Linked DNA regions of Pelodiscus sinensis. The protein of the gene in region 1 purifies or fractionates together with the protein of each later gene. This does not show direct contact. Links are inferred from orthologs where the notes say so. Each region holds a gene or a part of one and is shown in the gene's direction. Other genes may lie near its edges.

Region 1 (7,206 bases):
TTTTCACATTGTAGGTGCCAGTTCACCTAGTAGCTGTATGTGCACTAAAACTTGTCTGAAAACCTATCCATTTCCCAAACTGAAATTTGAGGCTGCTTAATTTGTGCTATTTGTTACATTAAATACAAATACATGTATTTGGAAAAATACTGGAACATATCTAATATATTTAATGGCATTTTGGTTCAAGCAATGGACAATGGTACAGGCAGTCCCCGAGTTACGCGAATCCGACTTACGAGACCAGGGAGATGGGAAGCAAAGCCTCTGAGGACGCCGTCAGCGGGACAGCCATGGCGCCTCTGGGCTGTCCGCTGCCCGCGTGCTCCGCGGCTTTGCTCCACGTCTCCCCAGACCAGGGAGACGGGGAGCAAAGCCGCGTAGCACGGGGGCAGCGGACAGCTCGGGTGCCGCAGCTGTCCCGCTGCCGGCATCCTCAGAGGCTTTGCTCCCCATCTCCCTGGTCTGCGGATCCGACGGCCCAGCGGACAGCCCAGATCAGCAGACCAGGGAGATGTGGAGCAAAGCCGCGGAGGACCCAGGCGGCGGGACCGCGGTGCGTCTCGGTCCCCCGCCTGCGTCTCCCTGGTCTCCTGGGGAGGGGCAGCTAGTACGCCCTCCCCTCAGCAGTCCAGACTTTTCTCCCGACGCCTGGGGCAGAGCAGCTGGGGCGCTGCCGGTTGGTCCCGCAGCGCCGCTTTGGGCACTACTGGACCAACCCGGCAGCACCCCAGCTGCTCTGCCTCAGGCGTCCTGATTCAGCCGCTGCTGGTCAGTTTCAGCAGCGCTGAATCAGGACGCCTGGGGCAGAGCAGCTGGGGTGCTGGTGGATTGGTCCAGTAGCGCCGAGGAGCGGCGCAACTGGAGCAACCCAGAAGCACCCCAGCTGCTCTGCCCCAGGCGTCCTCAAGCCAGCCACTGCTGAAACTGACCAGCGCTGACTACAGGAAGCCCGAGGCAGAGTTGCTCTGCCCCGGGCTTCCTGGAATCAGCCGCTGATCAGTTTCAGCAGCAGATGACTTGGGGACGCCTGCGGTTCTTAAGTTGAATCTGTATGTAAGAACTGGTGTCCAGATTCAGCCTGTTGAAACTGATCAGAGGCTGATTCCAGGAAGCCCGGGGCAGAGCAACTCTGCCTCGGGCTTCCTGTAGTCAGCCGCTGGTCAGTTTCAGCAGCGGCTGAATCTGGATGCCAGTTCCGACTTACATACAGATTCAACTTAAGAACAAACCTACAGTCCCTATCTTGTACGTAACCCGGGGACTGCCTGTATTAACCTGGTAAAGTAAAATCAGAGCTGTTCCCTCATCATATCCAGCCAGAAGGATATATGGGCATGATATTATATCCGTGGAAAATGTGAAGCAATTCCCCACAGAATAGAGCTTCTGTTACAATCGTAATGGAAGCATTTCACACAACATAGCAGAGAATGTCATACCAGATCCAATGACATTACATCAGACGAGGAAACATTTTGTGACTTCTCGTCAGCATTTCCAGTTCCACAGCATGCACCTCCAGGCTAGGAAAAGTAAATGGAGCAACAAAAGGGTTTTTGGCTTATGCTAGTGCCAAGTCTGCAATTCATATGCCAAAAAGCATTAACAGAGGGTCCTCCGGAATCAGGCACTCCAAGTCTTGTGAAGCAGAGGCCAAACATTTGTTCCAAAAAAGCTATAGAGCAAAGTGCTGCCATGCAATGGGCCAGATTCTCCCTTGGCATTACTCTCCTGGCTTCAGTGGAGTTATATTTGCATATATATGGGGTTGGAACTGCAGAAATGCTGAGCACTTGCAGCTACAAACTGAAGTTGATGGAAGATGAGCTTTGAACACAAATATTTCTTTATAATACTCAGTATTCTGAAATATCAGGACATCAGTACCTCAAACTGGGCCCTCCCCAAAATAGTGGACATTTCTGGCCTTAATCCTAGTGTTTCATTTTCCTATCTGTATAATGGAAATGACACCACTCCTTTACTTCACGGCTACGTCTAGACAGGCATGATTTTCCGGAAATGCTTTTAACGGAAAAGTTTTCCGTTAAAAGCATTTTCGGAAAAGAGCGTCTAGATTGGCACGGACGCTTTTCTGCAAAAGCACTTTTTGCGGAAAAGTGTCCATGGCCAATCTAGACGCGCTTTTCCACAAAAAAGCCCCAATCGCCATTTTCGCAATCGGGTCTTTTTTGCGGAAAACAAATCTGAGCTGTCTACACTGGCCCTTATGCACAAAAGGGACTTTTGTCCGAATGGGAGCAGCATAGTATTTCCGCAAAAACCACTGATTTCATACAGTAGGAAGTCAGTGCTTTTGCGGAAATTCAAGCGGCCAGTTTAGACAGCTGGCACCTTTTTCCAGAAAAGCGGCTGATTTTCCGGAAAAGCTGGCCAATCTAGACACAGCCCACAGGTTTGTGGAAGCAAATTAATTGTTTGCTAAATGCTCAGGTACTATAGTGATAAACCCCACAGAAAAGCCCACATAGACAATTAATGTTTCTGTTTTCAGAGCAGGTTTTGAATAGTGTTACTTAAATAAAGCTGGGGGACACACATAAATCTAACACAAAATACTGAGTAAGAGTGCCAACTTTTCCAACCTGTGGGACCTGACACCATTATCATGAATGGTGCCTGGTCTCTCTGATGGGAAAAGGTAACTCTAAAGAATGATTACTCAATATCCTCTATGATCCCATGCATTGCGTAAGCCAGTGGTCCTGGGAAACACAGTATGTGACATTAGCATAATTAAAAATGGTACATAAATATGCACACAGGGATCAAATCCTAATTGCATGAGCAACCTTTATTCTCCATTTCTGAAGTTTTGAGTGCTGACTTTGCACACTGGTTTTCAGCTTTTATACCTATAAATGCAACTAGCACTGTTGTGAAAAGCCTGCCCCGAGTTTAAACACATGCAGTGACGTCTTCCTGATCCAGGCCCTTGTGAGAGGCGCGGTTGGCTGCCTCAAGATTCACTTTTTAAACCCAAGGGGCAATAGCAACACAGCAGAACTTCCAAGCCTCTGCCAGGCCCAGCCAACACACCCCTTTGCCGTTGGGTGGGGCCTCAATCTCACTTCCCCATTGGCCTCTCCTCCTCCTTGCCCTGATTGGTCACTCCCTCTGCACAGCTCCTCCCCCTGCACGTTGTCTCTCCCCACGCTGTTGCAAGTGGTTGCTCCCTCCTGATCTGTGTCTTCCCCCCACTCCGCTCTCTCTCCTCCATGTTTGTTGCACTCGCCCCATCTCATCTCGCAGGGATGTTCCTTCGCTTGCCCTATCCCTCGGCTTTGCCTATTCCTTCCTTCTCATTCTGCCTGGTATGGTTCCCCCTCCCCCCCCCCGGAGGAGAAAATGGTCTGTCCCACTCCTAGTTCCTCCCTGTCCCCCGAACGAACGACGCGTACTGCGCTCCATACTTGGCGATGGCCGGAGAACCGCGCTCGGATTGGTTAAGAAGCGGCGATGGGCGGGGCCGAGTCTTAGTGACCCGGATGCGCACTCCTAGGCAACGGGCACGGCGGAAGTGGCAGGGCTGCGGCCTGGCTCAGAGAGATACCGGACGGGACCGGAAGTTGCCGCTGTCGCTAGAGCCCAGCCCAGCGGAGCCATCATGGTAAGAGAGGCTTGGAGCTGCGGGCCGCCGGAGCGGAGCTGCCCCCCCCTTCCTTGGGGCCCAGCTCCCGGTGCTCCCTTCCACCCTCGCTCGGTTGTGCCCGCGCCCCCGGGAAAGGGGCCTGCTCCGTTTGTTGCATGGTCCCTTCCTGCCCGGCCCCCTCGCTCTAGTCCCCTCTTTCCCCGTGCAGCTCGGGCTCCTTCCTTCTCCCCGGCGGCCTGGCCTGGCATGGGTGTGCTGGCCGGGCAGGGCCCGTTGGGCTTCCTGCTCCCGGGCGGAGCGAGCAAGTTCTGGGCAGGCGGTGCCGGGGGTGGGAAGCGAGGTCGCATGTCGTGGCTGGAAAGTAGCGCGGGAAGGGTTGTGACGTGGTGGGACGGTGACTTGGGGAGGGCCTGAGAGCAGGTGGCTCCAGGGCTTGCATGATGTGGGGGAGGAGGGTGCAAGGGAGGTTTGCTTTCAGGCCTGCAGAGTCGGAAGGGCCGGGGAGGGGTGCTCTGCTAACGTGGTTTGGTGGTGAGAGACAGATGTGTTAGCAGGTGCCTCCAGAGCTGCATGGTGTTGTTTGGGGGAGGAAGAAAAGGCTCCCTGAGCTGAAGCTGGGCAGGGGACTGGGCATTCAAGGTGGTGAATGATTCTCTTCTGTAAACCTTCACCTGAAATTCAGGAAGTTAAGGTGATGTCAGCTAAAATGGTGAGACTGCATCTTGTTTGTAACAGGCAAACAAGCTACTGGAGCTCTTAACAGATGTGAACTGCTGTGAATCTTCATTTCTGAATGCAGGGATTGCAGATGTAGATAGGGCATCTGTTTCTTGAGATATTTAGCTTGGTTTACAATTCACTATACATTTATGTTATCATATTATCAAGTGAATGTATACTGTTTAGTCCTTTATGGCTTTTCAAGACTCTTACTTTAATTCTGTCTGTGAAATGGAAGTGTGTTGTGTGTGTGTGTGTGCCGAAGAATGTATGTCACTTTCAAAACTAACCTGTGATTATATAGTGGCAACTCTAATTTCTGGCTAAATTGTTATTATTTATAAAACTTGAATGGTCATTTTAAGGTTTTGGGCTACTTTGTAACACATGTAGACTTCTTTAATAAAGTGGATTGAAGTGTCATAACTCTAATACCTGGAAATATCTTGAAAGATCAGCTTATCCTTGCTTCTAGGGAAAGCTGTGTTTAGCACTAATAGAAGACCATGTCATGCTTGTGCATTGGTTTTCTTACGTGGATCTGGAGGTGTACTCAGTCTTGTTTGAGAGCTGCTCAGTGAATGGAATAACATGTTTCCTCTACCTTGCAATTTTTAAAACTTTTCTTTTATTTCAAATGGACGGCAGTTTTTACTTATCCTAGATTCCATTAGATACTTCCGCTATAAACAAGCACAAGACTTCTAGCCAAAGATCTGATGAAGTAGTTAGATTTACCAGGACAGTCTCATTTCTGTGTAGAGCCCCACTTCAGGCTCATGTCTGAGGGATGTCCCTCCACTCAGCAAATTGTAAGACTGATGTCCCAAAGTGGTGGTAGAGTACAGGCAGTCCCCGACTTACGAACGGGGCTTTCTCGCCCCGGAGGTCGAGGTGGCGGATTGCTGCCTGCGAGCTCCGGGGCGAGAGAGCCCCGTTCGTAAGCTGCTCCCGGTGCCCGTGGTCTGCTGAGGACTGTCTCCAGCAGACCAGGGGCACCGGGACTGAAGCCGCAGCAGCGGCGGGTTCCCGCGCTTCTGAGGCTTTGCTCTGGCAAAGCCTCAGAAGCGCGGGAACCCGCCGCTGCTGCGGCTTTGCTCCCGGTGCCCCTGGTCTGCTGGAGACAGTCCTCAGCAGACCACGGGCACCGGGACTGAAGCCGCAGCTGCGGCAGGGTCCCGCGCCTCTGAGACTTTGCCAGAGCAAAGCCTCAGAGGCACGGCACCCCGCTGCTGCTGTGGCTGTGCTCCCCGTGTCCCTGGTCTGCTGGGGGAGGGGGGGGGCGCAGCTAGTGTGCCCCCCCCCCAGCAGATCAGGCTTTTGTTGTGGACCCTGGGGCAAAGCAGCTGGGGCGCTGCCGATTGGTCCTGCAGCGCCGCTCTGGGCACTACTGGACCAACCCGGCAGCACCCCAGCTGCTCTGCCCCAGGTCCTGATTCAGCTGCTGCTGGTCAGTTTCAGCAGTGGCTGAATCAGGACGCCTGGGGCAGAGCAGCTGGGGTGCTGCTGGGTTGGTCCAGTAGCACCAAGGAGCGAGGAGCGGTGCTACTGGAGCAACCCAGCAGCACCCCAGCTGCTCTGCCCCAGGCGTCCTGGAATCAGCTGCTGATCAGTTTCAGCAGCAGCTGACTTGGGGAGGCTTGGGGTTCTTAAGTTGAATCTGTATGCAAGTCAGAACTGGCGGTCAGTTTCAGCAGCGGCTGAATCTGGACGCCAGTTCCGACTTACATACAGATTCAACTTAGGGACTGTAGGTTTGTTCTTATCTTGTACGTAACCCGGGGACTGCCTGTAGTTGAATCTTATAGCTGAAGATATTCATTTCCTTTTCATAACTGTATGAAGACTGGTTGAGAAGACGCTATTGATGTGCTAGTCTAAATATTGTAGAAAAATTCCTCTTTTGGGGGACTACTTTTATGCAGTATCAGTATTTAAAATCTTCACTGATGCTTTCAAGTACCTGAAGGCCTAACTTTTTATTTTTCTTCTAAGCAGCTGACAATGAGGTTCTTGTACCTTTGTACAGTTAAAATATTTATTTTTTTTATATTACAGTAGATTTTAGAGGCTCCAACTAAGACTGAGACCCCATTGTAAGTCCTTAGTGGATGGAATCCAGTCTTGCAAGGAAGCATTTAATTATACAAAGCATGAGTACATAAATTCCAAGGATAATGTGTGAAAGTAGTTGATACATTTTGATTGCACTCGCAAACATCCTGTCTTTATTATGTATGCTTTATTCAAAGAAAGGTAAACAAAAGTGAGTCAATTAACAAAGTTAAATATCACTTTATATTGTCTTATGAATCATTGCCTGCGCTTCAGTGCTTTTTCAGAAATTCTAATAGATGAACTATGGCCAATGATGTAGGTTGGGGCAATCATTTCTAGTTTGCTATTTTAAGTGGTTTAAGATTTTTCAGAGAGGGCTAGGGATATAAATGAATAGTTAAGTATACAATTAACCAATAAGCCTAAGTTTAATCTTAACTACTGGCATTCTCTCCCCCCTCTTCCCCCTTTCTGCTTCTGTATCAGAGGCAGCAGAGGGGTGTGTGTGTGTGTGTGTGTGTGGAAGCAGGTGCTGGGGAGAGCTGATTTAAAAGCCTCCCCCCCCAGCTCTACATTTCTGCCTCCTTCTCTCCCCCCCCCCCCCCCCCCCCATCTTGCAGAGCAGCCTCTGTCTGCAGTGAGCCTGGGCCCACTGTGGTCAGAGGCTGCTCTGTGATGACAGACTGTGTGTGTGTCCTTCCCCCCCCCCCAGACGGGGGCTGCTGCCGCCATGTGCCATTGCCTCTGTTTCAGAAGCAGCAGCGCAAGGCGGCAGGCAGATGGTCTGAACAGGGAGCTGGTTTTTAAACTTG
Region 2 (7,794 bases), on another chromosome or scaffold:
AATTTGCATATCTTATTTTAAGTTAAGTCCTGCTGTGTAGACGCACCCTATATAGACATCTCTATACACATGATTACAGAGCTTGGCAATTGTTCACAATGTCTGGTTAGTTCACTTTGTTCACATTTTGCAGTCTCATAAAAACTCACACACTCTGGAATATATTTCTCCTATATATTCAGTTCACGTATTGTTTTATTTTTAAAAATTGGAAGCTATATCCTGACTTTAAATATATGAGACCTTCACTGACTTCAATGAAAGTTGCATATACATGGAATATGGCCCTGAATCTCAAGTCTAAATTAGGGATGTGAATGGTTAACTGGTGGGGGGTCGGGAGAACCTACCCCCCCTTCTCTCACCTGTTATAGGCAGGGGATTTCTCCAGTTTCATGGGGCCCACAGCAGGCAGGGGGTGTTCCACTGGCCAGAGCAGTTCCTGCCCACAGCAGCACTTGCCCCGGGTGCCATGTGCAGGGGCATTCCACCCCCTATTTAATAGGTTAACCTTAACATTTAACCTGTTAACTAATTAAATGTGATTTTATATCCTTAGTCTAAATTAGGGCCCAGTTCCTCCAGGAGCTTAATACAAATGTGAAGATAACTGTGCATTTATCCATTTACCACTGAGTTAAATGGAAAGTGAGAGAACCTTGTCCTTTCTGATGCTCAGCATGTTGCAGGAGTGGGCAAGAGGCTGCCACTGGGCTGGATCCAGCCCGCCAAGCCATCAGATCTGACTCATGGCTGCCTCAGCAGAACCCTAAGGCAGAGATTAGTTCGGCTACGTCTACACTGGCATGATTTTGCGCAAGAACTCTTTTGCGGAAGAGTTCTTGTGCAAAAACTCTTCCAGAAGAGAGCGTCTACACTGGCATGTGCCTTTGCGCAAGAGATGTGCTTTTGCGCAAGAGCATCCATGCCAGTGTAGACGCTCTCTTGCACAAAAAAGCTCTGATGGCCATTTTAGCCTTAGGGCTTTCTTGCGCAAGAAATTCATGTTGCCTTTCTACACTGGCCTCTTGCGCAAGAACAGTTGTGCAAGAGGGCTTATTCCTGAGTGGGAGCATCATAGTTCTTGTGCAAGAAGCACTGATTGCACACATTAGAATGTCAGTATTCTTGCGCAAGAACTTGTGGCCTGTGTAAGACAGGCAGCAAGTTTTTGCGCGTTTTTGCACAAAAGCAAGCATTTTTGCGCAAGATCTCACCAATGTAGACACAGCCTTCATGTTTTTAAAAGCCAGCTGTTCTCTGCTCAGGAGGGCTGGGGAGGGAGAAGGAGGAGGACTTCTTGTGCTGTTCCCGCCCCCCAGCAAAATCTCTTAGCTCCCACTGGTCAATCTCTCAGTTTCCGGCTAATAGGAGCCAAGAATTTTTGATGGGCACAGGGGCGGAATATGAAGCATTCTCTCTCCCTCCCTCCTGCCCCTTCTCTCTCATGCCAGCAGTGGAACAATGAGCAGCCTACAGCAGGCTGTCTGCCTCAGGTTTCTGCTGGTAAGTGCCTCCCAGCCAGAACCTGCCTCTGGCACCCCAGCTCTCTATCCCCCCTCCACATACTCAAACCCTCTGCCTCCTCCTGCACCCATACTCCCTCCCAGATTTGGCACCACAATCTCCTGCCCCAGATCACAGTCCCCTCCTAGCCTAGGTCATATCCCAGAACCCTGCATCCCAGCCCTCTGCCCTAGGTCACAACTGTCTTCTTCACCAAAACTCCTTCCCAGACCCCATTCTTCCTCCTGCACCCCACTTCCTTACCCTAAGCTCCCTTCTGCACCTTACCTCCATCCCAGACCCCAGAATTTTTCCATTTATATCCCGGAAGAGTGCAGCCCTCGACCACTTTCTAAAATCTTGGAATGGCCCCTCATCAAAAATTATTGCCCACTCCTGGCATGTTGTATAATCAAGCTCTTAATTTTTTTGTGGCCTTAAAAAAGATATTTGCACAGAAACCAGTTAACTGAGGAGTGACACTAGTGCCATGTACCAAAAATACATACATCATCTCTCTTTTTTCAAGTTATCCCACAGATTGACTTATTATTTCTGTTATTTGACAAGAAATGAATCTCCGCACTATTGTTCCAAGTCTGTTCTTTTCACCTCTATTTAAACAAGATACAAATTGATCATGGAGATTTCAAATGTCTTAATAAAACACACACAGCAAAACCTTTCTTCCCTAGAAACCACTTTCTGTCTATATTTATTAGTCCTTTGGGCTCCTAATGGAATTGAATAAATGCCAAATGATGAAATTGCTGTCTTCACCTAGGTAAGTGTAACATGGGGCAAATCTGTAGCTGCTATGAATATAACTGCTGGTGCTCCTGACGCTATTGCAATTGTTAACCTTGATCTCAGTGATATTGCTCTTGCTGCTGTAGTCCCTTTTGTGGCTGTTATTCTTTCTATTGAAATTGGTGCTACCACTGGTGACACTGCTCCTGATGTTATTGCTACCTCTGCAGCTGGTACACTAGATGGTGGCACTGCTGTTCTCAGTGGACCTATTCTTGATGTTCCTCCCAAATCCTGTAACCTTAGGTGCTCCCCTTCTTTATTGCTGCTCTTATTTTAAACCTAATTATTGCAATGGCTGTTATTACAACTTTCTGCTGCTGCTTTGGACTGGAAGTAGGGATGTAAAAGGTTAACTGGTTACCAGGTAAGCATTAGTCTTACTGGCATGCTTACCTGTTAACCACAGTGCCTGGCTGGTGGGAGCAAATTCTCCTTTCTTCCGTTGGCCTTTGGCCAGCAGGACCTCAGTTGCAGGGGGCCTGGCCGAGCCAGCACGGACCCCTGGTTACGCACCTGCAGGGCCAGATCATGGCATGGCTAGAGCAGCACCCCACCCATGGTATGGAAGGGCCAGAGCAGTTCCCTGCTTTCCACACAACCAGGCCAGAGCAGCCCCCTGGCTGTGGTGCTGTTGGTGTGGCAGAGGTCCTGCCAGACCAACAAGAGCCCATGAGCTCTCCATGGTTAACTGGTGAAATTATTATAAGTATATTGTTTAACTTTAATGGATATTTACGTCCCTAGTCAGACATATTATTTGCGACCTAGAAGCTGGAGTCAGGGTCTCAGTACATATTTCACAAACATGGGGGAGCCAACAGCCATGCTGGACCCCTGGGCAAAGTGAGGGGGAGCGTGGCTTTGCATTTCTGGAAGGGGGGGGGGGTAAGGAGGCCTGGGCAGAAGGGCTGGGGCAGCCAGCCCTCACTGCTGTTCAGATGACTAAGAACTAGCCCCTTCCAGTCTTTATAGTAGCCTGAAGCACATCATGGGGTACTCTGGCAGCAATTTAAAGGAAATGGGGTTCCAGGCACTGCTACAACCCTGGGCCCTTTAGAAATGCCAGACCCAAGGGCAACTGCCCCTATTGCCCTCCTTCCCCCCAGCCTCCGCATCAGCAGGCCTGCACAAACCAGCCTCCGCATCAGCAGGCCTGCACAAACCAGAGCTGAAAGTAAGCCGGTGTGCTGTTCTGGCAAGAAAGAGCTGGGTTTGATGAAGCACTTGGCTGCAGGTGGAGGTGTGGCACACTCCCAAATGAGCTTCTGAGATTTGCAGGGTGCTATTTATGGAGTGAGTGACCCAGGCTGTGAGCTTCCCTTGCTCAAGAGTGTTGAAAGGGAACAGGAAGCAGACTCCTAGTATGAATCTTGGTGAGTGGGAGGCTTGACCTCCCTGCTGTACCATACCAATTGCGCCTGTGCTCTCTGCATCCACACATACCCCATGCCCTGAGCCCCCCTTCACACCAACCCTGACTCCTGCAGCTACCAACATACATACCAAGCTCCCTCCCCTGAGCCCCCACATCCTCAAGTTCCTGCCCTGACACCTCCACACACACCCTGCTCCCTGGCCTAAGACCGTATCAATGTTCTAATTTTTTCCAACAATGTGCAGAATAAATTTTTGTTACATGCACTGTGGCATGTGCAGGTGTGCACCCCAAGTAGAAAAACATGCTACCAGCTGTGGGCATTGTGGGTGCTCAACTAATCAGCTGAGTAGCATTTGAACCTTTCCTGAGTGCCCATGTGCTCAGCTTAGAGGGAACACAGGACTCCACCCCCTAGGCTCCGGCCCTGACGCCTGCACCTCCACTCCCTCCCTTGAGCCCCCCACACTGTCTGTACCCCATATTGTATCCTTTGGTATATATGGTTGTGACTATTTTCTTCCACTATTTGATCTGAGGAAGTGGGTCTGGCCCACGAAAGCTCATCACCTAATAAACCATCTTGTTAGTCTTTAAAGTGCTACCTAGTCCTGCATTTTGCTTCAACTACCCCAGACTAACACGGCTACCTTTCTATTACCATATTTACAGGGACTGTTGTATGGCAACTCCACGCCCTCACCTGCTACAACAGTGTCTGTAAGAAATTTAAGTAACTTTCATCAAACCCAACACAACGTCCCCACTCACAGTGTTAAATAGATCAGACAGGTCCCGGGTGGGGAAACTGAGGCACCGGGAGCGACGCCACCTGCGGTCACCCAGGAGCTCAGTGTCAGAGCCGGGAATGGCTGCCCGGGCTCCGGCCCCGCAAGCCAGCGCCAGGCGCACCGAGCGGGGCTGTGGCGGTTGCCGGTCCTGCCCTTGCACCGCGGGCCCAGCCAGGCGGCGGCGGCGGCTGCAGTTCCCACGGCTGCTCCAGGAGGGGGCGCTGCTGCTGCGGCCCCTCCGGGCCAGGACCTGGCTCCTTCGCTGGCTCCGTCCCTGCCGCCCTCGCGCTCGCCCCGCCGCACTCCATTTCCCGGCGTGCAGCGTGCGCATGCGCGCCGCCGGAAGTCTCGTGCCGGAGGCCGGGCGCTGCTGCCATGGCGCTGGAGACCCTCTCTCCGGACTGGGAGTTCGACCGCTTCGACGACGGTTCCCAGAGTAAGCGGCGGGGGAGGGGCGCGAGAAGAGCGCCCCGGGCCCCTCCCCTTCGCAGCGGGGCGCGGGCGGGAGCCAACGGCCAAGAGCGCGGCCGGTGGGGGGGACAGGGACGGTTGCACCCGGTTGTCCAGCAGCGCCTGCCTGTCACGCGCGTGCCCTCCGCAGGCGGGGGGGGGGGGAGGGGAGTGACCCTTCCCTGCTTTGTCCTGGGCCTGGCCCCCTGGGAGGCAGCGCGCCCGGAGCCGGCCGCGGGTCAGTGTCGCTCGTCCCGGCCCTGTCTGGCTGCAGGCTGGGCTTGGGGTCGCACCGGTGTCCGGCCTGGTGAGGTCACCGCCGCCAGCTGCCTGCGCTGGGGCAGGACCAGGCAACCTGTCCTCGCCCATCCCTGCCTGCTCTGGCCGCTCTCCAGTGATGGGGCGTCCCTGGCAGCTCTTACCGCGGGAGTGTTTCTAGTACCTGCGCCTCCCTTGCTGCAGTTTAAGGCAATTGACTTCTTATCTTGGCTTCAGTGGCTATGGAGAGCAGTTGATCATCGTTCCCTGTGCCCCTTCTCTCAGTGTATTTGACGGTTATCATCAGGTCATCCCCTCCTCCCCGGTTTTTTTTCAGGACTAAACATGACTTTTCTCCATAGGTCAGGGTTTTGTGTGTGTTTTTTAATCCTTTATTATTTTTGTTGCTCTCATCTGGACTCTTTCCAGTTTCTCCAGATCTTTCCTAAATTGGCACCCAGATTTAGATAAGTTCCTAGCTAAGCCCTCACCAGTCCTGAGTAAAGTAGGAAAGTACTTCCTTTGTCTTGAATACAATACTCCTGATAATACCTCCTTTCCCCCAGAATATTAGCTTCATTTGCAACTGCATCACATTGATTCATATTCAGTTTGTGGTTTAAAGGTTCATCTTTCTTTTGTTTTTCCTCCCTCCACATCCCCAGTAACTACTTGAGATAATTTAGCAAATATCCCAAACAATCATGGGAGAATCAAACAAGAGGGATAAACTGACTTTTGTCTGGTGTATTTACATGCATTGGGAATTTTTCCTGCTGAAACAGTGATGCCTCTTTCTTTGCAGTTTGTCTTGATTAGCAGATAAGTCACGCTAGAATAAATTAGTTCCGTGTTGTGTGTTTGCTGTGGCTTGAAGGGAACTAAGCCGGGCATTCTCTTGCAATTTCACTTCAACTTTTTGAATGACGATTAATTCTTTGTCAGCCTGCATGTGTGCCATTTTCTGTCCTTGTAGATTACTTAGTTTCTAAGAAAGTTCATGGAATGCACTTGTTACACTGTAAAGTACTGGATGTGCGGGGAATGGGATTGCTTCTCAGAAAACCATACAGAAAAGAAACAGAATTACCAGGCAGGTGAAAGAGGCTGGTTTGGGGCAGTCCCCTCAGAAATTTCTGAAGTGGCTCCTGATCAAAAATTATTGCCCACCTCAATCTAGACCATCCCTACCCTGCTCTTAATGTTACATTATCAGGTATAAAACTAGGCTTGGCAGAATTCAGCTTTTATTTTCTTATAATTTTGACAGATAATGTTGATTATTTTAAAGCATTTTATATGTTTAGATTTTCATTATTGCAGGAAATTACAGGAAGATTAGGGACCTGCTGGTGAAGGGTGGCAGTCAGTGTGCACATGGAGCCAGCTTAAAAGTGCGCACTGGCTTTCCAGGAGTGTGGCAGCAGGTGGGAGCCAATGTGAGCTGGGAGCCAGCATAAAAGCTGTTTACTGGTGCGCACTAGCTGCCACCTTGTGTTGTTGGTTCGGGTAACTGTTTTCAGTCGTTATACATTTAACCAATTACCTGCTTTTTAACATCCCTAATTGGTAACCTTTTAGGTGATATGCAAAAACAATATTTTACTCATTGATAGTCTGTAAATATCTTTAGCTTCTCATAAGTGTAGGTTTATTAACACCGGTGAATTGTCTACATTTCATCACTCCTGAATGGCTAGTCAGCTACTGGCTAGCAAATGTGAAAGACTGAGGACTGGAAAAGTTCAGTTTAGGTGCAGTAACATCATCTGTGTGGAAATCCATCACCAGGCTTCTGGGAAGGTATACAATATGAACACTGTCACTGGAACCAGCTTAGGGGAGGTGCCATCTTTTTTTATTATTCTTTGCTTCATAGGTATATAGCTAGAACTAGAACAGCCACCGCTCATTCAGTTTCTTGCTAATAGGAGAGAGAAGTCTTTCACTTCCCTTCAACATTTTAAGAGTGAAGGGAATGGGGACTCTCCCAACTTGTTTGCCAAGGAGTGGTGGGAGATGGTCATTGGTGATGTTAAAAATTGAGTATTTGGGTAACATTGTAACTGCTGAGATTGTCAGCAATTACACAGTTATATGTGCTGCAGGCTCTGCAGTATAAAGCTTAGCTATGGATAACTGTATAAGTAACCATTTAGCTTTTGTACTGGGGAGCCTGCAATAAAGCTATCCTGGGAGCAGGGCCACCAAATCCTGCCATCCTGGCTCCCAGGGAGGTGGCTTCACTCACTGCTGCCCTGGGAGCTAGTTGAGTATAAGCAAAACCATTAACCAACAAGCACCATTGAACCTCACTAGCACTTCTGGTTTTGAGAGAACAAGTATAAAATGGGGTTCCCTTGGAAAAGCTGAGTTATGCTGGTGTAAAATAGAGAATAGACTTATGGCATCAGCCTTATGGTCTGTGATGTTCCAAAATAAGAGGTATGTATTATGTAATAAGAAATGTAGGAAATAAGAAAATGACACTTGGTGGCAGCTTTAGATTTCTTCTTTTGCAGCTTTCTGCACTGTATACTTGAATGATAGATTTTAAACCTAGTTAATTAAACAAACCAAAAGGATTAGCTATCCTAAATC
Region 3 (7,908 bases), on another chromosome or scaffold:
GGGGGGGCTGCCTTAGCCCCACTGCACTACCCCCCAGGAGCCATCTGTGGTAAGCAGTGTCCAGCTGGAGCCAGCGCCGATCCCCTGCCCCAGTTAAGTACCCTCTCTTGCATCCCAAGCCCCTGCCCCAGTCTCAGCTCAGAGCCCCTCTCACACGCCAAATCCCTTAGTCCAAGACCAAAGCCTGCCTGGTGAAAGGGAGGGAGAAAAGGGGCAGGAGGAAGGGAGTGAGCAGGGGCGGGGCCTCGGAGAAGGGGCGGGAAGGAGGCAGGGAAAGGGTATTTGGGTTTGAGGTAGATCTTGGATTGCACTTAAATTCAAAAAGCGATCTTGGGCTTCAAAAGGTTGGAGACTATTGGTGCAGACTCTTCCGAACCCCACCCCAAAAGCTCCAGCAACCCCAACTTAGCCAGCCATGAGGCTGCTGAAGCCGACTCTGCCTGAATCCAGCCTTGGGACACTGCACCTCCTTGTGATTCCCAGCTGGGGGAAGGAACAGAGCGTGAGCCGGGGTGCCCTGGGCCATTGTGCCTTCCTGGCAGAACTGGCTCATTAGCAGCTTGGTGTAGGGACCCTCGGGGGCACCACTGGCAGGTCCCCTGGGCCAGGGCTCTCTTACATCAGGCTGTTAGGAAGAGGGGACTGGTGCACAGAGGCATGATGCAAGAATTGCAAACTGTCCCCCTCCTCAGTGCCCAAGACCCTCATTCCCCAAGCTCCACCCCTTCCCTGCTTTTGCCCCACCCCTAGGAGGAGCAAGACTCGGAAAGAGGCAGGGGGCAGGGCAACACCCACAAGCTGCTACTCTTAGCTTGGGGTGTGGCCTGACTCATCCCCAGGCCAGGGGCTCAGTTTCTCCGCGTATGTCCATTCTTTGGGCTTGAACACCCCATAGCCTCAGTGCACAGAAGGGGGGGATGCTGGATTCTGGCACAGAACCCAAGAGATTGTTCTGCGGGGCTGGCAATGGGGGTGTCAGTCCAGTACCCACAATGGCTCCAGGGTGCAAGAAATCAGGACTTGGAATAGAACCCGGCATCTGGGCCACCCCAGCAATGCCCTTCACAGCACCTCCCGCCCCCACAATGCCCCCCTTTTAGTGCTCCGATGCCCAGATGTGTCCCACTCACCCATCCTGGGCACTGTTGCCCCCTAGGAAGCCGTAACGGTCCGTCTGGCGATAGGGGGCAGCCCCATTCAGCTCAGAGTCGGAGCCCAACGAGCTGGAGTCATCATGGCGCCCCAGGGTGGAGTCAAAGGCATCGGACAGCTCCTCCAGGGTGCTGAGGCTGGAGGAGTCAGCGGAGGACATAGGGCCGGATGCCATGCCGTGATCTCAGCACCCTGCAGGGGAGGGAGGGCAGGGACAGGGGCCCGCAGTGAGTGCCCAGCAAGGCCAGCCCAGAAACGAACATCCCAGGAGACAACCCTGAAGTATAACTTGCCAGGCCCCTCTCCCCGTCCTCTCCAGGGGCTGCCCAGCCAAGGCCCCTCTTACTCATTCCTCCCAGGGTCTGCATCACACAGTCCCTGCTCCATCTCTGCCAGGTTCTGCCCAGCTCAGGGTCCCTCACCCTATCCCCCTCAGGGTCTGCCCAGCCCAGCCACTGAACCCCCATCCTACTCAGAGTCTTCCCAGCCCAGGGGCCTGCACCCCCATCTCCCTCTGGGTCTTCCCAGCCCAGCCACTGAACCCCCATCTCCCTCAGGGTCTGCCCAGCCCAGGGGCCCGCACCCCCATCCAGGTCTGCCAAGCCCAGGCCCTGAACCTCCATCTCCCTCAGGGTGTGTTCAGCCCAGCAGCCTGCACTCTCATCCCTCCCAAGGTCTTCCCAGCCCAGGGTCCCCTCACCCCCATGTCCCTGCACCTCCACCCCTCTCAAGGTTTGCTCCATTCAGGACCTGCTCCTCCATCTCCTCCAGGGTCTGCCCAGCCCAGGGCTCCGCATCCCCATCACCCCTATGGACTGCCCCACCCAAAGCCCCATCCTACCATCCCCGCCGGATCTGCACTGCCCAGAGTCCCACATCCCCATCTCCTCCATTGGGAATGGCCCAGGGCATGAGCTAAGGGGACTGGACACAGTGGAGGTGAGTGGGAATGCGGGTCTGCCACACACCCACATCCCCTCCAGGATCTGCCCTACCCAGCCCCACACCTCCATCTCCCCCAGGATCTGCCACACACCCACATCCCCTCCAGGATCTGTCCTACCCAGCCCCACACCTCCATCTCCCCCAGGATCTGCCACACACCCACATCCCCTCCAGGATCTGCCCTACCCAGCCCCACACCTCCATCTCCCCCAGGATCTGCCACACACCCACATCCCCTCCAGGATCTGCCCTACCCAGCCCCACACCTCCATCTCCCCCAGGATCTGCCACACACCCACATCCCCTCCAGGATCTGCCCTACCCAGCCCCACACCTCCATCTCCCCCAGGATCTGCCACACACCCACATCCCCTCCAGGATCTGCCCTACCCAGGCCCCACACCTCCATCTCCCCCAGGATCTGCCACACACCAACATCCCCTCCAGGATCTGCCCTACCCAGTCCCCACACCTCCATCTCCCCCAGGATCTGCCACACACCCACATCCCCTCCAGGATCTGCCCTACCCAGCCCCCACACCTCCATCTCCCCCGGGATCTGCCATACACCAACATCCCCTCCAGGATCTGCCCTACCCAGGCCCCACACCTCCATCTCCCCCAGGATCTGCCACGTACCCACATCCTCTCCAGGGTCTGCCCTACCCAGGCCCACACCTCCATCTCCCCCAGGATCTGCCACGTACCCACATCCCCTCCAGGATCTGCTCAACCCAGGACTCTTCCCCTCTAGGGTCTGCTCAGCTCAGGGCCCCTCACCCTCATCTCCCCTCAGTTCCAGTGGAGGGCCCTGTGCTCCCATCTTCCCCAGGGTCTACCTAGCCCAGGACCCCTCCCCCCCAGCATCTGCCCATCCCAGGGCTCTGAACCCCGACCCTTCCATCCTTGGTTCCAGCCCAGAGCCCCTGCATTCCCATCCCCTGGTCCTGAGGCCCAACCCCTCTAGCCCTATGTGTACTGGAAAGGGAACACGTGTAACATCCCTCTCCCACACTCACACAGAACCCTGCCCCCCCCTTCTCTTTTCTCTCCTGCCTCCAAGCCTGGCCCCAGTACAGCTCAGGGAGGTTCCTATCGCCTCCTATTGCCCCTCCAGGAGCCCTCCCACTGAGCTGCTCCCCCGTTCCCACTCACCTCCACTGTGTCCAGTCCCCTTAGCTCATGCCCTGGGCCATTCCCAACGGAGCAGTGCCCAGGCGGTGTGGCCCTGCATCTGTCCCGTGGCAGCACCTCAGTCTGGTGCACTCCCCGTGGGTGCTGCAAGCTTATTTCCTCCGCACTGTCATTTCCTTTTGCACCTGACAGGGCTGAGGCAGCAAGCAGCATGCGGGTGGGGGAGGGGGAAGTGTATGTGGGGCAGTGCTGCCACCCTGTTTCCTGTAGCAACCCCTGCTGGCAGAGGCTGGGACTGGAGTAGCCAGGCACTCCCCCTCGCTCCTAGCCAGTGCCTCCACTCTGCTCCCCACAGCGCCCCCTGCTCTCAGAGTGAGCATCCCTCCCCACAGTGCCCCCTGCTGGCAGAGGCTGGGACTGGAGTAGCCAGGCACTCCCTCTCGCCCCCAGCCAGTGCCTCCACTCTGCTCCCCACAGCGCCCCCTGCTCTCAGAGTGAGCATCCCTCCCCACAGTGCCCCCTGCTGGCAGAGGCCGGGCTAGTGTAGCTGGGAGCACCTTACAGCTAGTGCCCGCACCCCCACAGCGCCCCCTGCTGGCAGAGGCCGGGCTAGTGTAGCTGGGATCTCCTTACAGCTAGTGCCCCACCTCCACAGTGCCCCCTGCTGGCAGAGGCCGGGCTAGTGTAGCTGGGATCTCCTTACAGCTAGTGCCCCCACCTCCACAGCGCCCCCTGCTGGCAAAGGCCGGGCTAGTGTAGCTGGGATCTCCTTACAGCTAGTGCCCCCACCCCCCAGCACCCCCTGCTGGCAGAGGCCGGGCTAGTGTAGCTGGGAGCTCCTTACAGATAGTGCCCGCACCCCCCAGCACCCCCTGCTGGCAGAGGCCGGGCTAATGTAGCTGGGAGCTCCTTACAGCTAGTGCCCCCACCCCACAGCACCCCCTGCTGGCAGAGGCCAGGCTAGTGTAGCTGGGAGCTCCTTACAGATAGTGCCCCCACCCCCCAGCACCCCCTGCTGGCAGAGGCCGGGCTAGTGTAGCTGGGAGCTCCTTACAGCTAGTGCCCCCACCCCACAGCACCCCCTGCTGGCAGAGGCCGGGCTAGTGTAGCTGGGATCTCCTTACAGCTAGTGCCCCCACCCCCCAGCACCCCCTGCTGGCAGAGGCCGGGCTAGTGTAGCTGGGAGCTCCTTACAGCTAGTGCCCCCACCCCACAGCACCCCCTGCTGGCAGAAGCCGGGCTAGTGTAGCTGGGAGCTCCTTACAGATAGTGCCCGCACCCCCCAGCACCCCCTGCTGGCAGAAGCCGGGCTAGTGTAGCTGGGAGCTCCTTACAGATAGTGCCCCCACCCCCCAGCACCCCCTGCTGGCAGAAGCCGGGCTAGTGTAGATGGGAGCTCCTTACAGCTAGTGCCCCACCCCCACAGCGCCCCCTGCCGGCAGAGGCCGGGTCTAGACTAGCTCCGTGCTCCACCTGCAGCCTGCGCTCCCACCCCGCTCCCCATAACTCCCTGTGCTGGCCGAGGTCCGGCTGGTGTCGCTGGGAGCGCCCGGCAGCCAGCGCCCCCTGCTGGCAGGGGACGGGCTGCGGAACGGCGCCCCTCCCCCGGGGCTCTGGGCGGGTGGCTGCCAATGATCCCTCCGCTCCTCTAGGTGGGGCGGCAGGCCGCGCGCTCCCGACCCGCCTCCTGGCTGAAAGCGGCAGAGCCGGCAGGTTCTCGGCCCCAGCAGCCTCCAGTCGGCCCGGACCTAGCGCAGCCAGGCGGGTGGGGGGCGAGTGCAGCAGCAGGAAGCCAGGCGTCCGGGCCTGCCCCTCCGCAAAGCCGCCATGTCGGAGGGCGAGAAACTCAACTTGGACTCCATCATTGGGCGGCTGCTGGAAGGTGCGGGGGAGGCCCGAGCAGGGGGCTGCGGGCGTGGGGGGGGGGGCTGCCCGGTTGCATCCTGCCCCCCCCCCCCCCCGTGCATAGGCTGGGCCGCCGGCCGGGAAGGGCTGCGGGAAGCCCCGGGGCTGCAAAGACCCGGGCCGGGCGCTCCGGGAAGTTCCGCGTTCGCTCCTTTGTTTTCGCTCGGCTCTTCCTGCCGGCTGGGCGATCCCGGGCGGAGGGCGGCCCCACGCGGGGCTGGGCGCAGGGAGTGGGTGGGTGCAAGGAGGGCCGGGGCTGGCCCCTACGCGGGAAGGCGGCGTGGGGGTCGCGGAGCTCCAGTGGTCTCTTCCACGCTGCCCCGGGCCCCTGACGGGTCCGTTTCGCTGCAGCCCCGTGTGGGGCGCGCTGCCCATAGGCCCCATGGAGGAGCTAGAGACTCCTATTCCTGGAGGCGCGGTGGGGGCTTGATCTCAGATGGGGGGAAGAGTGTGGCTGTTGGTGGAGGAAGAGGGGGGCAGGGAGTGGGGTGTTCCTGGCCTTTCACCCTCCCCGCCACTTAATTCCACGCAAAGAATGGGGACTATCCCCCAGGCCGGCCCCCAGCAACATTAGTTATGGGGAGCGGGGGGGAATCGAGCTCCCTTCACCCCACCCGCCCCCAGAGCCCTGCTGTGTCTGACGTCAGTTTCCTTCTTCCTGAAAGCCCTGGGGGAGTGTGGGGAGGAGCCTGAGTTCTGGAGGGCTGGGACCGGCCTGAGCAGTCCTGGGGCCAGAGTAGGTGCGGGGAATGTTGAGTAACCCCTGCTTTCCTGGCCAGCCCCCCCCCCCCCCTTGTGTATATGTGAAACGGGGAGGGGGGAGGTGTTAACCAGTCTTCCTAGTGCTAACTTCTTTGTTCCAGTGCTGCCAACAAAATGTGTGGGGGAGATTAGCTGTTACTTCCCTGATCCTTTTAACACTAGGGGTGTTGGGGGGGGAGGGGACCCCAGCTACGTTGGCCAGATTGGCAGCAGACCACTGGGGCTAGACCCTGGGCTGAAGCAGGTGCTGAATGGCAGATTATGTGATCTCCCATTCTTGTCCATCACATATTGCAAAGCAGAGGCATCGGTTCCCTGTGTCATATAAGGAAACCGAGGCACGTAAGGAAACTGAGGCATGGGGGACGGAAGCAGCCTAAGATTAGAGCAATTCAGAGGTGGGGAAAGAACCCAGCATGCCAGTCCAGCATCAGTTGCTGGGCCACCTGCCTCTCGAAGCTTGTGTATTCTGCAGTGTGCGGTGGCGGAAAGCACTCCAGTGTGACCAGTAGGGCAAGTGTGGCCTGCCTGAGAAGGAGCCACAGTTTACCTATGTACATTGCCCAAGAGCTACAGTAATTTGTCAGCAGTCCCCATCAGGTGCCTCCTTTCCCGTCTCCATTATCTTTTCCCCACCAGATGCCCCACCGGTCAGCGCCTCCTTTTTCTTTCCCGTACCTCCTGCCCACTGCAATCAGCTGTTTCAAGGCACTTAGGAGGCTCTGTGGGGGAGGAAAGGAGGGAGGGTGCGATACACTTGGAGGAGGAGGTGGAGCCGAGTTGAGCACTGGAAGGTTGGCAGCTGGAGCTGCAGCCCCGGAGTCAGTGCCCTGAGCAAGGAGTCACATATTAACTTCAGAAGAGCCACAGGTTGGCCACTCCAGAGCTAGGGAGTAGGGAATAGGCTTCCCTCTAGCATGCACCAACTCCGATCCTACTCCATGGTGGGGGGCACTGGCTGACTCAGCAGGACGAGGGAGAGGGGCTCAGGGCCTCCCAGCTGTCCTAGTGTTTGAAGAGCCCATCTGGGTTCTGGCCAAGGGGCCTGTGTGATCCCAGCCTAACTGCGCCTCCTTGAGCTGCCTGCACAGATCAGTGAGGACCCAGGCTAGGCCAGGACTCTTGTGGTGCCTTCTTCCTTCCCCCTTTGTTGGTCTTGAGTCACCTGTTAACCTGGCCTTCAAGTGGAAGGGGCAGGGCAAACCCTTGGCCTTTGGCTGGGATGTGGTACACGGGCCTGTCCAGAAGAACCTCCGGGTTCAGCCCTGTGGCCCCCTGGATCATTCCAGCATCTGTGGAGTGGCCCTGGGATCTGTGGGAGTGTCTCTGAGCAGTGCAGGAGCTAGGACCTCGACCCAGCAGACACCCACTGTTCTATGTTGCAGTGCAAGGCTCGCGGCCTGGCAAAAATGTGCAGCTGACGGAGAACGAGATCCGGGGCCTCTGCCTCAAGTCGCGGGAGATCTTCCTGAGCCAGCCCATCCTGCTGGAGCTGGAAGCGCCGCTCAAGATCTGTGGTGAGTGAGGCTGGGGGGCGGGAGCTGCCGTGGGAGAGATGATGTGGGGATTCCCTGCACCCCTTGTTTGCTGTGGGTGGAGTCCCTGGCTCAGACCGGGCTGGGTGGGAGGTCAGGGGTGGAACTGTGGCCCCCTTGCTGGCCCTTTCCAGAGGTGACTCTTCGGGGGGGGGGATTTGGAGGGTGATCCTTATCTCACTTCCTGCCCTCCCCAGGTGACATCCACGGGCAGTACTATGACCTGCTGCGGCTCTTTGAATATGGGGGCTTTCCGCCTGAGAGCAACTACCTCTTTCTGGGCGACTATGTGGACCGGGGCAAGCAGTCATTGGAGACCATCTGCCTCCTGTTGGCCTACAAGATCAAGTACCCTGAGAACTTCTTCCTGCTGCGTGGCAACCACGAGTGCGCCAGCATCAACCGTATCTACGGCTTCTACGATGAGTGTGAGTGTGGCCCCTGCCCGAGTCCCCACCACCCTGCTCCCCACACG
Region 4 (7,794 bases), on another chromosome or scaffold:
AGTTTGGGGAGAGATGTCTCTCCCCCTCGACTGCAGCTATAGAGCTGGAGCTGGGAAAGGAGCAGATATCTCTTCCCCCTCCTAATCTCAGTAGCCAGCGAGGACTGCAAAGGAAGGAGGTTTCTCTCTCTGTCCCCCGCCATGACAGCCCCCAAGTTGGGGTTGGGAAAAAGGGCCATCTCTCCCAAGCAGCTGCAGCCCTGAAACTGGGGGAAATTGCCTCTCTCTCACCGGCACAGCCCAAATTCCCAACATCCCCTCTTTGCAACCCACTACCCTCTCCCACATAGCCATTGTTCCCCCCAAGGCCACCACCTCATCTTACAAGTGCATCACTTTCTGAGTCCAGGCACTTAATTAGTGGAGCCATGCCCATGTAGCCTCACTAATTAGGTGGGTGGCCCTTCATTATTCCCAGTGTGGCAGCACACCTTAGCTTAGAGGGAATTATCTCTGGACTACCTGAATGGAGCTCCTGGGCAGCTAGTGATCCACAGACCACAGTTGGAGAATCTCTGCTCTAATCTTTTGAAAACTGCTTGTTTTATTAGATTGTAGGATGTTAGGGCAGGCAGGGATTGGCTCTTTCTCTGTGTTTACACAATACATAGCATAATACATCTGTGGATGCTACCACGCTATAAATATTAAACGACAACAACACAGTAGGGCTGGAAAGTGCCTCCATAATAATCTAATTCACGCCTGTGAACTTCTGCTTGATTATTTTCATCACTGAACAGCACCTTTGGACTCTTACGGAGCACTTCAGAAGTACCGATCCTTGGCATTTTTGTAGCCCTATTCATCTTCTTTACACTGTTGAATATGAATTCTCACATTGATGTTCTGTGCTGTAGGAAAGCATTACACCCATTCTTCAGACTAGTGATGTGAAAGACTAGTCAGATAGAGGCAGCAAGGGGGGAGGAAGAAGAAGGGGTACCTCAAAGTGGCAGCACCGCTTGAAGCCTGGGGCCAGACGCTGAGCTACACATGGTGCTGCCACTTTGAAAAGCTGTGTGCCTTCTGGGGCCAGCTGAGGTGTCCCCAAGCTGCACACAGTGTTTCAAAGTGGCAGCACTACACGGAGCCTGGAGACAGCTGGGGAATCCACAGCTGACCCTGGGCTCAGTGCGGTGCTGCAGGCTCCTTGTGGCATTTCAAAGCTGCAGCGCCTAATGGAGCCTGGGATAAGCTGGAGACTCACCCCCGCTAACCCTGGGCTCCATGCGGCCCTGCCACTTTGAAACAACGCCACAGCATTTCACGGTGGCAGCTCTGCACGGAGCCCGGGGTCAGCGGGGATGTCCCAGCTGTCCCCAGGCTCCACGCGGTGCTTTCGCCTTTGAAGTGTAGCAATAGCCCTAGGGTGCCCTATTGACTAATGCATAGACTTTCAATTAGTCATTTACCCTATACTTAACATCCTTACTACAGACAGAAAACCTAGAGATTTCACCACAGTATTCTGTGCAAACCTGAGGTTATAAATTTCCTCTTGTAGTTTTACATAAGAACGGCCATACTGGATCATACCAATGGTCCAACTAGCCCAGTATCCTGTCTTCCAACAGTGGTCAACAGCAGATGTTTCAGAGGGAATGAACAGAATAGGGAGGTGAAAGGTTAACCAGTTAACCAATAAGCATCACCCTAAATGTGTAATGCTTACTGGTTCCAGTTAACCACAGGGGCCAGAGCAGCTCCGCACCCACTCCAATCAGGGGGCTACTCCAACCCCACAGGACCCTTGGCAAGCAGGGGCTTTTCTGGCCAGCCAGAGTCTGTGATGGGCCTGGCCCAGCCTTCCCACCAGAGGTTGCAGGAGCAGGGCCAGCAGCTCTCACCAGCTCCTCTGTGGCAGGGAAGCCTCCTCTCCAGGAGCAGAGCCGACAGGGACTGGTAACCCCACTCTCAGGGAGGCTTCACTGTAGGCTCTGCAGTATAAAGCTTATTAGACCATCTTTTTAGAGAATCTTTCTAAGCAGCCACTGTTCTTGTCCGTATGTCATGGGATTTTCAACATACCGCTCCTGTGCACGTGCCAATGCGGCCTGGCTCAGTGCAGCACCTCATGGAGTAGAGACAGTGGGAGCTGAGCCTGCAGAACACAAGGAGAGGGGAGGGAAAGGGAAAGGAGGGGACTGAGCCATCAGAGCATGGGGAGAGGAGACGGAGGGGGCTGAGTCTCCAGATCACCGCGGTGGAAGCAGAGCTGCCCCTGAGCCGAGATGGGTGGCTCTTTCCTTCTGGCCCCTGAGCACCGGGCGGGCAAGAACCTTGCAGTTTTTACTAGTGGAAACACACTATATTTAAGACCAAAAAGACAAAAATATTTAAACTTTTTAAAATCTCAGCAGTTCCACACACTGCGGATTCTGCAGTATAAAGTTTAAAGTATATATATAAAAAACACTGTGAGAAGACAATCTTTCTAAAAGCGCACCAAAAGACTAAAAATAAAGTTTTCACCTAGCAATTTAGGAGAAAGATTGGATGGCTAAATATGATTCAAGGTAGTTGCTAACTGTTAGCCATCCAATCTTTCTTCTAAATTGCTAGCAAACAGAGGCTAAGGACACCCACTGCATGGGGTTGCTTCCCTTTCCTTTTCCAATTCTAATATATCGTTTTTGAGAGGGGATGACCAAATCTACATGCAGTATTAAAGATTTGGACATACTATGGATTTATACAGAGGTATTAGGATATTTTTGTTCTATTATTAAGGTTGAGATTTTGCCATAGAAATTTTTCAAAGTCACAGACAGGTAACAGGCAACAAACAAAAATTCATAAAATCCATGTCTGTAAGGTGGGGAACCTGACAATCCGAGATCCACCCTGTTGGTGGGGTGACTTAAAGCTGCTTCAGACCCAGGAGCAGGGGTGGAGGCTGACAGCTGCTTCAACACTCCTGGTGTGGTGCAGCTGTAGTCAAAGAAGCCACATGGGTCCATTAAAGTCATGGAATCCATAACTTCCATGACAAAATTATATCCTTATTTACTATCTTTCCCTTTTCTAATGATGCCTAACATTGTTACCTATTTTGACTGCCTGGACATTGAACATGTTTTCTGTGAACTATTCACCATGATTCCTTGATCTCCCTCTTGAGGTCTAAATTAGCTAGTACAACTCATCACACTGTAGGTATAGCTCAGATTATGTTTTCCAACAGCATTACTTTGTGTTTTATGTCATTGCATTATTCAGATATTTATGCTTATACTGCACTGCTTTCTAGCTGCTGCCAGAAGGATGAGGAGTGTGTTTCTGACACTGTAGTTTCCTTAGTAAGGATGTTAAGAAGAGGGTAATTGACTCATCATAGTTGATACAATTTGCCTCTGATAGAGGCAGTGTGGGTGGGGGGACAGGTAGCACTGCAGAGACAGTGCTGGGGGAACTAGCTTTTAAGCAATCCAAATTGCTCTGAATCAGTGACCTGTCCTCTTCATTATTTACCAGGACCCCAATTTTTGTATAATTTACAAACTGTATCAATGATACTATATTTAAAAGGCAGAGCTGCAGCAGTGGACCCAGCACAAGATGGGATTCAGCAATCCTAGCTCACGCCGGGTCCTGGACCACCACACCTCTAATTTTTAAATGTAGTTAAGAAGCTCTGCCTTTTAAACGTAGTAAGTATAAATTGTATTGAGTACATGACTAGTCAATTACCTGCTACCTAACACATCCTTACTCTCAAGGCCACCCTCCCAGACACTCTGTGCTCCCCTTTGTTCTTCTGTCTTCATTGTCCTAATGCTGATCCCCAACCCCATCTCTCCCCATCCTCCGCAACCCGATGGGGGAAGAGTTCCAGCTGAAACATCTGAAACATGCAAGTCTGCCATCTTGGCCTTCCTATCCTGGGGCCACACCACAGGCTCTGCCTGGCAGGCATGGAGGTGACAGTAGCACTGCCACTTGGCTGGGGTGGGCAAAAGGGCACCCCTTGCTGGGCCAGGACATGGAGTGAGAGACTTCACATGTTCTCCCCCCCCAACCCCTCTGCCTGCCCGTAGGCCAAGCAGAGCTTGGGGATGGAGGGAAGCGTGCAGTCTCCTCCCACCCTGTAAGGGTTAGAGTCAACTGCCAGGCCCCCTTGTGGGGCAGGGGCAGGGAGCAAGAAATTTCCCCATGTTTGCCCTGCTCTCATGCCCTCATTGACCGGAGGGCAGGGGGAGCAAGCAAAGCCTCTCTCTCCCTGTCCCCACCTTGCAAGGGGCGCCCTTTTGCCCACTGCCAGGGACATGGGTGCCTAGAGGGAACAGCTGGTGGTTCTCTATGGGGGGGGGGGGGTGAGGGCAAAGACTTCACAGGGTCACCCAGGCCAATCGGGGTCTGTGGACAGGAAAGCAAGAAGTGTCCTGGCCCCTCCCCTTCCACAGTGGCCAGGGGCCACTTCAAAAATTTCTGAAGTGCCTCCCGTCTAAAATTATTGCCCACCCTGCTCTAGACTGACCCATGCTGGAGGGAGCTGCAAGAGATGCCTCAGGGGCAACAGATGCATCTTGTTAGGGAGCAGCCTCTGGAGTCTAACCTAAGTGGGGAGCATCACACACACACACACACACTACACTCCTAAACACACACACACACCCTCTCACACACACACACACACAGCTGAGTGCTTGAGGGAGGCCTGCCAGCCTCTCCCCCGCCCCCTCATTGCTGGCTGCTTCCCCCTCTAGCAGCAGCCGCCCGCCAACCCCTACTCTGCCCGTAGCTCTGGCGGGGCCGCAGCTGCCCCCCTACCTGGTGCCAAGCCCCGAACCGGCAGCGGCAACAGGCCGCGCTCGCCTCCCCCCCCACCGTTGGCGAGGTCTCTCCGCGGCGCAGGCGGGCCGCGGGCAGGAACCGACTCATCAGCCGGCGCCGGTGCACATGACCCAGGGCCGCCGGCGCGGGGTAGGCGGGCCGCTGCGCGGAGAGCTTCCGTGTGGGGCGGCCGGGCCTGCAGTCGCCTGCGTCGGCCTGAGAGGCCTGGGGGAGCCCGGCCAGCAACCGGGGCGCGACTGGCTCAGTAAGGGGGGTTGACAGGCCCTGGTCTTTCTTGGGGGGCTCATATTTGGGGTGGAGGGGGGAAGCAGGGGCTCCACCCACCCCTGAGGAGGCGGGTGCTTTGACTTTGGGGGGCGGTTAATTCTGGGGTGGTCCTGTGCTGAGGGGGTGCTATGACTTTGGGAGATGCTGTGACTTTGGGGGCGGTTAATTCTGGGGTGGTCCTGCGCTGAGGGGGTGCTATGACTTTGGGAGATGCTGTGACTTTGGGGGCGGTTAATTCTGGGGTGATCCTGTGCTGAGGGGTGCTATGACTTTGGGGGCAATTAATTCTGGGGTGGTCCTGCGCTGAGGGGGTGCTATGACTTTGGGGGGCGGTTAATTCTGGGGTGGTCCTGTGCTGAGGGGTGCTATGACTTTTGGAGATGCTGTGACTGTGGGGGCGGTTAATTCTGGGGTGATCCTGTGCTGAGGGGTGCTATGACTTTGGGGGCAATTAATTCTGGGGTGGTCCTGCGCTGAGGGGGTGCTATGACTTTGGGGGGCGGTTAATTCTGGGGTGGTCCTGTGCTGAGGGGGTGCTATGACTTTGGGAGATGCTATGACTTTGGGGGGCGGTTAATTCTGGGGTGGTCCTGCGCTGAGGGGGTGCTATGACTTTGGGGGGCGGTTAATTCTGGGGTGGTCCTGCGCTGAGGGGGTGCTATGACTTTGGGGGATGCTGTGACTTTGGGGGCAGTTATTTCTGGGGTGGTCCTGCGCTGAGGGGGTGCTGTGACTTTGGGGGACAGTTAATTCTGGGGTGGTCCTGTGCTGAGAGGGTGCTATGACTTTGGGGGATGCTGTGACTTTGGGGGCGGTTATTTCTGGGGTGGTCCTGCGCTGAGGGGGTGCTGGGGATTAGTGTGGGGCTGGCTGTGCTGGTGGGAAAGTGGGGGGTGTTTGTCAAGCACTCTCTGGGCATTTCTCTGGAGGAGAGGATACCGCGCAAGTGCCTGGTGGCTGCGGATTTGGTGCAAAGGAAAATGGTTTGCGCGCAGGGGCGGGCAGCGAGTGGGGCTGAGGTGTATTCCAACGCACATGCTGGAGATCACAGCTGGGTGAATGCAAATGACTTCTTGGGTATCCCCTTGAAACATACTGTGCAAAAGCGATAGAAATGTAGCCGTGTTAGTCTGGTGTAGCTGAAACAAAAGCAAAAGCCTTTGACTGCTAAAAGCAGCCTTTAATAATTACACCAAAATGAGGGCCTCTCTCTGTCCCAGGGAACAAGACCTAACCGCTTCTGCGAATTATTCCTTTTGGACAACTGTCAGGCTGACTTAGAAATATTTTAATGTGATATTCATTTAAAATCAAGAAACCATTTTTTTAAGAACAGGATGAGGAATAATTTAAAGCCCATTCATGCTCTCCTTGATTTAGGCCCTGGTCCTGCAATAAGTACTGTACAGGCCAACTTCTGCACCCATGCAAAATTCATTCCAGGGCTGTGTACTTAAGAGAAAGATTGGACCCTTACTAGGTGTGTTGTAGCAGAGTGGCTTTAAAGGAGAAGCTTTCAACTTGCATTTAGCTCAACATTTCTTAAAATAAGCTTTTGTGAGTCTAATATAAATACAAAAGTTTCCACAGATGGTTTTTAAAAATGAAAACAGATGTCTTTGACATTGTTGCAGTAAATATCTCACAGGGAAAGTGATCATAAATATAATTGCCTTTGATTTCCATTGGCCAAGCTGAGAGACATGCAAAAATGAAACAAATTGTTTAACTGAACTGTTTGCAAGCTTAAGACATAATTTTCATTTCTTATTCATACTTTACATATGATTGTATTGACTGAAATTGTATGAAGAAGGAGGTGCTTGCAACACTTGTGATTTTGTTTTAAGAAGCCTTGTTTGCGCTCTGTGTTTGCTCCAGTGACAACTGTAGCTCAGGCTGTGTTTCTGGATACCTACCTTCTCTTCCTACCTCTGTCACTTACTTGTTTTGTCATCTTGGGCAAGTAATATAACTTTCCTGTGGCTCAGTTAACTTATTCCTGTGGGTCAGATAATTTATCTATAAAATGGCTATATTTATTGTGACAGGTTTGATCATAGAGAATACAGAAACGATACATGCATATATAGATTATACACATTCAGTGGATTACATGCTTTTCAAATAGAATTATATGCTATATATTGCACAAATCATATTCAAGTTAGGCATATTCATATTCAAAAGCATATTTCTGTAAAGTATATGGAAGTGCAACTTCACATTTATGTTTACCCCTTTTGTAAAAGAGGACTACATATTAGATAAATATTTCAGCTATATTGGAAAGAGATTGTTACTGGTTTCCATTAGTATTAAAATACATTGTGCAATATAGTACAGTGAAATATACCAATACCACCTGGGAGTAAAGCAGCAACATATTTGTTTTCTTATAATGTTCTCTTTCTTTGGGGAGAGAGGGCCTAGGAGTTCCCTAGCACATAGAGGCACATAGACAAATATAAACACTGCAGCTGGTTAAGGTGTTCTTGGGCTCTTTTTAACTGGGAAAATTAAGATTTCTGACTTGGAGAAAGATCACTATGGCTTGGAAATTTAACCACAATACAAAAGGTGTCTGTGTAGCAATGAATAAATGACCCTGAACTGTAATTAGCTGTCATTGATCTATGCTGTAGCATATTTGCTTGTGTTGTGTTGTAGATCTAAACTGCTCTGTGCAATCCTTGTGTCAATGTTTACATTTTGCTGCAAGGCCTGACA

The links.
Region 2: the proteins of CAPZB (region 1) and WASHC4 purify together in Homo sapiens (co-immunoprecipitation; 4 studies listed by BioGRID and IntAct, with this or other methods). This does not show direct contact. The link is inferred for Pelodiscus sinensis from reciprocal best matches to the Homo sapiens genes CAPZB and WASHC4.
Region 3: the proteins of CAPZB (region 1) and PPP1CA purify together in Homo sapiens (affinity purification with mass spectrometry; 3 studies listed by BioGRID and IntAct, with this or other methods). This does not show direct contact. The link is inferred for Pelodiscus sinensis from reciprocal best matches to the Homo sapiens genes CAPZB and PPP1CA.
Region 4: the proteins of CAPZB (region 1) and WASHC5 purify together in Homo sapiens (co-immunoprecipitation; 4 studies listed by BioGRID and IntAct, counting the BioPlex papers as one, with this or other methods). This does not show direct contact. The link is inferred for Pelodiscus sinensis from reciprocal best matches to the Homo sapiens genes CAPZB and WASHC5.

The regions. Positions count from the first base shown.
Region 1 is NC_134733.1:7,659,547-7,666,752, reverse strand, and holds the start of CAPZB (F-actin-capping protein subunit beta), read left to right. Parts: upstream 1-4,191; 5' UTR 4,192-4,262; coding exon 4,263-4,325; intron 4,326-7,206. UniProt on the Homo sapiens protein: F-actin-capping proteins bind in a Ca(2+)-independent manner to the fast growing ends of actin filaments (barbed end) thereby blocking the exchange of subunits at these ends.
Region 2 is NC_134711.1:97,591,205-97,598,998, reverse strand, and holds the start of WASHC4 (WASH complex subunit 4), read left to right. Parts: upstream 1-4,816; 5' UTR 4,817-4,860; coding exon 4,861-4,921; intron 4,922-7,794. Other genes in the region: ALDH1L2 (mitochondrial 10-formyltetrahydrofolate dehydrogenase), read right to left, coding at 4,466-4,816. UniProt on the Homo sapiens protein: Acts as a component of the WASH core complex that functions as a nucleation-promoting factor (NPF) at the surface of endosomes, where it recruits and activates the Arp2/3 complex to induce actin polymerization, playing a key role in the fission of tubules that serve as transport intermediates during endosome sorting.
Region 3 is NC_134714.1:127,061,802-127,069,709, forward strand, and holds the start of PPP1CA (serine/threonine-protein phosphatase PP1-alpha catalytic subunit), read left to right. Parts: upstream 1-4,901; 5' UTR 4,902-5,058; coding exon 5,059-5,113; intron 5,114-7,283; coding exon 7,284-7,415; intron 7,416-7,630; coding exon 7,631-7,861; intron 7,862-7,908. Other genes in the region: TBC1D10C (carabin), read right to left, coding at 1,131-1,335, 1,853-1,868, 3,259-3,444. UniProt on the Homo sapiens protein: Protein phosphatase that associates with over 200 regulatory proteins to form highly specific holoenzymes which dephosphorylate hundreds of biological targets.
Region 4 is NC_134712.1:18,604,262-18,612,055, forward strand, and holds the start of WASHC5 (WASH complex subunit 5), read left to right. Parts: upstream 1-4,787; 5' UTR 4,788-4,926; exon of another isoform or gene 4,927-5,041; intron 5,042-7,794. UniProt on the Homo sapiens protein: Acts as a component of the WASH core complex that functions as a nucleation-promoting factor (NPF) at the surface of endosomes, where it recruits and activates the Arp2/3 complex to induce actin polymerization, playing a key role in the fission of tubules that serve as transport intermediates during endosome sorting.